2 linked regions of the Rattus norvegicus genome follow. The protein of the gene in region 1 interacts with the protein of each later gene in a pairwise test. Links are inferred from orthologs where the notes say so. Each region holds a gene or a part of one and is shown on either strand. Other genes may lie near its edges. The genes, in order: Mycbpap and Mycbp.

The links.
Region 2: the proteins of Mycbpap (region 1) and Mycbp interact in binary tests that used the Homo sapiens proteins (3 or more experiments, as listed by UniProt). The link is inferred for Rattus norvegicus from reciprocal best matches to the Homo sapiens genes MYCBPAP and MYCBP.

The regions. Positions count from the first base shown.
Region 1 is NC_086028.1:79,957,058-79,960,880, reverse strand, and holds part of Mycbpap (MYCBP-associated protein), read left to right. Parts: exon of another isoform or gene 1-285; coding exon 286-413; intron 414-1,009; coding exon 1,010-1,169; intron 1,170-1,279; coding exon 1,280-1,383; intron 1,384-1,967; coding exon 1,968-2,151; intron 2,152-2,384; coding exon 2,385-2,500; intron 2,501-2,926; coding exon 2,927-3,068; intron 3,069-3,823. UniProt on the Homo sapiens protein: May play a role in spermatogenesis. May be involved in synaptic processes.
Region 2 is NC_086023.1:141,423,607-141,426,285, reverse strand, and holds part of Mycbp (C-Myc-binding protein), read right to left. Parts: intron 1,018-2,679; coding exon 969-1,017; intron 774-968; coding exon 644-773; intron 1-643. UniProt on the Homo sapiens protein: May control the transcriptional activity of MYC. Stimulates the activation of E box-dependent transcription by MYC.

The sequences.
Region 1 (3,823 bases):
ATAGGCAAGCACTCTACTACTGAGCTGCATCCTGAGCCCTCAGTGTATCTTGTTTGTGTATTAAGATATGCAGAGGGCTGGAGAGATGGCTCAGTAGTTAAGAGCACCGACCTGCTCTTCCAGAGGTCCTGAGTTCAATTCCCAGCAACCACATGGTGGCTCACAACCATCCCTCTTCTGGTGTGTCTGAAGACAGCTACAGTGTATTCATATAAATAAAATAAATCTTAAAAAAAAAAAGATATGCAGAGAGCTCTTGGGACATAGCTCTTTACCTCTCTCCAGAAAAGAAGCGGGCGAAGGCACCTGAACAGCCCACCCCCCCCATCCAGGAAGAGCCTGAGCCTGTCAGCAATGTCTTACAAGGAGATGACATTCTTGCCTTGGCCATCAAAAAGGAAGACTTGACGAAGGTAAGACCAAGGCCAAGGATCTCTTAGAGCACCCAGCCATGTTCACGGTTCACCCCGCCACTGGCTTCCTAATCCCAAGGAGTCACTAATACCATGTCAGGAAAAAAAAATACACCAAATATAAATTCTTTCACTTTAGCATCTGAAGGAATTCACGGGAAGTTAGGTTTTCATATTTCTGAGATTTTATGAGAGCCACAAAATAGTGAGATACTTTGGGGCAAGTGCCATCAGGCCCATTCCACAGATGGGCAAGTAAGTCCAAGCATCACAGATAGAAATGAGCATGAGGCTGCTGAACTCCAGCCCTTCCCCTTACCTGTCATTTGCTCTTACTTAATCTGTCTGGACATGTCAGGTGTCATTTTTCCCCCTCCAGGTTACTCCTAAATCTCAGGTCTGTCACACAGACATTTCCAGAACAGGATGTATGGATGGGGCTGGGGAAGCCGACTAGTCAGCCCTCAGGAATTCTGCCAAGAACAGAGATGTGTGTGCACTCGTGTGTGTGTGTGTGTGTGTGTGTGTGTGTGTGTGTGTGTGTGTGCTTCCTCTTCTCCCCAGGTAGCATTCTCCTCAGCTTTGTTTCGTTTTAGCAACACATTCCTCAGTTTGAAGAAACAGGAGAAAAGCCTGTGGTTACACAGAAGTTTATCATCCGTAAGCTCAAACCGAAAGATTCTTGCAAAAGGGTCTACCACTTGGTAGCACATCCTGCTAATCCAGATGCCACCACAAAGCCTCTGGACTACTCCGGTATGGGTTCTGTTGTGGGCTTTGCATTCTTGGATGGGTCTCCAGCCAATAGTTGCTCTGTGTGTGACTCACAACTTCTGGGTCTCCATCCTTCTCTCCCTGCCTGCCAGGTCCTCGGGACAGCTTCTTAAGTAGTGACCAGATCCTCCCTCACCAGATCCTGGGGAGTCTTCAGGACTTTAAAAGAATCGCAGTTGCTCGGGGAAACACCCAGGTTTGTTTGCACAGAGCTAAGTGGCTGAGAGACGTTGCTGAAGCCATAGAGTCAAAGGGGCGTGTGTGGAGATGGGGGCCCAGGGGTAGGGTTTTAGAGCTAGTTGGACTCTGGGCCTGGATGATAAGGGACCCTTTGGGAGGCAGTTGCAAGTCACAGAAACCAGTTGCTGATAGACAGCTTTAGCTGAAGTGGGGATTTACTAGAAGGAACTCAGAGCCTGCCTTGTGAAACTCAAATAGCAAAGCAGACCTCAGCTCCTCATGCCCCTTCTCTGGAGACTGGATTGCTGAGATACATGCTGGAGGGAGATATCCCCCAATTCTGCCTCAGAGCCTTCACTTCTGTTAGGCAGGGCACTAAGGGCCCTGCTCACTTACTCAGGAGGAAGTCATCAATTGTGGAGAAGATGGCTACACCCTAAGGGATGCTGAGCTCTCTGGGCAGAGGGGACTGTCAGCATTCCTCAGGCCCTGGTTTGTTTTCTGTCACTTGTCACCCTCTGGTCCTGAACAGGAGGGATCCTTAGAGCAGGACAAAACCTAGGACCTGGGTCAGCACCTCCTCTACCTTGCTTTTTCCAGCTGGCTAAACTGATCAATATCCAGCCCTGCCTGATGACCCTCATCTCAGCTAAAGAAGAGCCAAAGCCAAAGTCCCCAAAGGAGGAGAAGAGGCCTCCATGGGCCCCACCTCTTCAGCACAACTTCCTCAAGAACTGGAGACGGCACATCACCTTGCGGAAGAAGCAACAGGAAGTTCTCAGTGGTAAGCTGAGCTGACTAGGGACCTGCCAGGCCCCCATCTGTCACCGAGGCTCGCCTGTGCCTTCTGTGTCTTCTCTCTCACCCACCCCGCAGCCCGGACTTACACTGACTAACATGAAGCTTCTGGGTTTCAGGCTTCAGTGTGTTCTGAAATGAGCCCGGGAGTAGACCACCCAATTCAGTGTGCTTTGTGTTTGGTGCAGCAATCACAGTCTTCCTTCTCTCCCTCTCTAGAGCACCTGAAGAAGCCAGCAAGTGAGCTGTTGATGAACAGTGGGGAGGGCTACAGAAAGATCCAGGAAGAGCGAGAGGCCATTGACCGTGCACTTCCTACCCAGCATGACAGAAAAGTGAGGAAGAGCGGGAGAGAGGAGTGTGGGTGGGGGAACAGCTCAGAATGCACATGGTGAACTGTATGGGAGGAAATCACCTTTTCTTTACCAAGCACTGTTAAGCCCTGGGATTCTTTATTTCATGTTCCATGACTGCCCACTTTAATAACTCAGCCTCTGGTGGTCTCTGGTATTTGGTTTATCATAAGAGTCTTAATGTTTGTCTCCTAAAGGTTTATACTCCAACCTTTGGTCCAACCAAGGTTTTGGTACATCCATGAGTGCCTGGGCTGGGACCCATCTTTCTGCCTTCTTGAGAACTAGAATATTGTTGAATGCCTCACTCTTCCGCCAGTGGGTCCGAGTGGATGTCCCAGTGAGTCTCTGACTATGGTACTGAGGGGGTGACCTCACTGCTCTGTCCTTCCTCATCTTGACTTTAAGGCGATGAATTGTTTCTGGAGCCCGCTGGAATACCTGGGTGATGAGAAGTCAGGTCTTCTCATGACCAAGAAGAAAAAGCAGCGTGGTCTGGTGGAACCCATCACACACATCAGGAAGCCCTTCTCTATCCAAATGGAGACTGGTGAGAAGCAGGGCTATAGGCTTACACTTTTCAAAACTTACTTTAATTAAGCAAGTAATTAAGCCTATCAGAGGAAGTAGGAAGGAAAGGTTAATAAGGTAAAAGAGGGTGTGGACCCTCTTTTAGAAATAGTTCTTTGGAGCGAATACAATCTGCCTTGTCAAGATATCAGAGGTTCAGTCCACACACATCAGCAGTAGCTTTATCCACTCGAAAACACCATGCACAAATCAGCAATGTCAGTTCTATCCAAAGGATACAGAGAGGCTCTGAGGCAAGAAGCCACTGGAACACCACCGGAAGTCCTTTGGTGGTGTTTCTATGAAGTCATGACAAATGATGACCAGCAAAGAGTGGCAAGGTGAACCAATACCACACAGTGTCATCCATTGTCTGTCTGCTGGGTTATATTTACACCCCTCCCAAGTATCACGTGTTCTCTCAAGCATCCACTCTAGCAAAACATTATGTGTCCTTTTCCCAGGCTGCTTCCAGAAAAACACCATATGTCTGTTCTCAGCAAAACATCCTCACATGTGTCTGCTTCAGCAGAACATCCTCTCCAGAACACAGTTTCCAGAAAAGCAGCACAGGAAAAACATCACATGATACAACTGTGTCTCCAAAGAAATGAGAAATTTCCACTTCAAGGGCCCAAATCTATTAGCTTCTTGTGCCTGGTGCTGGAGGCAGGGTAGTGTGTGGTGGTGGTCAGCATGACTCCGTCCCAAATCCTGGTTCACTCGGCTTTGAGC
Region 2 (2,679 bases), on another chromosome or scaffold:
TTTGTGACTGCTTACAAGAACACTAGACTTCAGAAGACTTGACCTCTTTCAATTAGGTTCAGACTGGGAATTACATCGTGTGGTTCGGAATGTGATAAACCTCAGACTCTGATTGATGCTCATGTTTATGGGAATTTGAGCAAAGGCAAATTTCAGCTCTAGATAAAGTCGAGTACAGCTTTCTTCCGTCCTTTTGAGAACCTGGAGCTAGCATGCTTCAGACAATGCAGACTGTGTCTTAACAACGCAGTGGCCTAGACTGACCTAAACAGCTTAAGAACTTACTTTAAGCAGTATCAGCCAATGTCCCCACCTTTTCATTGATGTAGGTTCTCACTCCCTTTTCGTGACTATACTTGCCTATCCAACTTTTTATCGGTCTTGGGACTTTTCTAGATGAGGCTTAAGTTTGCCATGGATCTGACTGAAACTGATACTGTCCCTCCCTGCTACCCATTAGTGGAGTTTTGGGTTTAGTTGTTTACTGTGGTTTTATCATGCTACAGATGGAACCCAGGACCTTCTACTCATGCCAGAAAGACGCTCGACCACTGAGCTATATCCCTGGCCTGCAGTAAGGATTGGTCAGATAATCATTAGAGGCAAGATTACTTTTTAATTTGAATTTGGTTTTTAAATTTACCTTTGCTTTCAGTTTTTTATTTTCTTCTACAGTAGCTTCATATTTCTCTTTCATTTCTGCCAATTCTAGGCGAAGCAGCTCTATTTCTGGGTTCTCCGGGGTGGCAGCTCCTAAGTGATGCTTTAAAAAGCTGACATCAGTGTTAAGAACATACTCAGAGCAGGGTGGGCCAGGACAGTCACCACCACACCACAGCGGTTGTCCAGGGTCAGGTGAAGAGTCAAAAGAACTTTTCAACAAACAAAGTATTGAAAGCGCATTATATATGTGAATAAATAAAAATGTCAGAAATATGGCTTTTTCCCTTCAGAGATGAAAAGGATACTCCAGAGCACTGGTGGGCTTCTCTGGTTCTTCATATAAGGCTACCAACACTGCAAATCAAAGAGAAAGAACAATTAAGTCTCCAGTGTAGACGGCTGAAATATTCTGAAACTCAGTAAACACTGTCTGCCTGCTGTACGGTGAGCAGATTGCTAAGACTGTCCTGTCCATACAGTGGTGAACAAGTCAGACAGTACCCTTGCTAGCAACAAACTCATCAATCTGTCGTAAAAGATAAGGAACTAAGAGAATACTCAGCTGTAATAGTGGTTAGTGAGTTTTAGAATACTCAGCATCAGAGGCAGATCTGAGACCTAGCTGCATTTCAGATTAAATGGAAAAGCTCAAAGCATATACAAGGGAACCAACAGGTCAAGTATGTTGTGGGGTTGTGGGTAATAAAAGGAAAGATAGTCTGGGGCCAGACTGAGACAACTGAGAAAAGCTTAGTTGAATTTTGATCCTAAGGACTACAAACATTATTTCAACAGTTTGAAAGCAAGGAGGTAGCAGGGTCACTCCTGAATGCTGTATACAAGCCTGACTTAAGTGGGACATGGAAAATGGCCCAGAAGAAAGCCGGGTACCCATACCTGTACTCTCAGTACTAAGGAGGTGAAGCAGGGGACTAAGGAGTTCAAGATCATTCCTGGAAAAGCAATGAGCTGGAGACCTGAACTACAAGGAGCCCTGTCTCAAAAACAAAAAATCTAATGTAATGTACTTGAAGACATTTTAGGTAATTAACAGCATTCCATTTGAAACGTTCAAGAATTAAGTTTCATGTATGACAAGCTAGGCACCAACCAAAAAAACGTTACCACAGTCAACATGCTCAGACTGGCATTAACAATGTGCTAGCACTTCCTGTCAACACTGTCTCTCACCTACTGAACAAGGATTCAGTATGCAGGGGGCAAGGTCTCCACACTTGTGCTGAGGACAATTTGAAAAACTCTCCTAAGGCTGTGTATGCTTGAGTCAGTGTGTTGCTGAGACAGGTAACCCAAGCTGACCTACAATTCACTATTGTACTACCAGCTAGCCTCAAACTCATGGCAATCCTCCTGCCTCAGCACCCCCCCCCCCCCGTACAAGTGTTATAAAAATCTGACAAAAGTAAAATATGCAACTTCAATGTGCATAACTTGAGAGTCCAAATTAAGAAATCCTGTTGTAAACCAATGTACATGTGCTGGGTTTTCGAGTTTTAATGACAAAGTACAGACAATATGAAAAATGTCAAGTGAGCAAGCACTTTTACACCAAAATACACAGTTTTTTGAGAAATCCACATTTATATCGCAACTATCTGACCATCTCTTAGTATGTTACATTATCTCAAATCCCTACTACTACTTTTTTGCTTTAAAAAATACATTTAAAAGTGTTTCTTCATTTACTTCCACTGATCTGTACGGAGTCTTAGTCATTATTTACTTACTTTTAAAGATGGCATCTCTCTGTGCAGCCCTTGCTGTCCTGAAACTATGTAAACTAGGGTGGCCTTGAGCTCACAGAAACTGCCTGCCTCTCTGAGTGCTGCCTCCCAGGTGCTGAGATTAAACACTTGCACCACTAGGCCGGCAAGGATCTACAGGGTGTGACTATTAGTGCTCTTGCCTTTTCCTTCCGTCACTGCATCCTCACTTCCCTCCAGCTCCCAAATTCCTGCCTTGGTGTCTGCATGGCTGGAGCCACAAAGTGTTAAG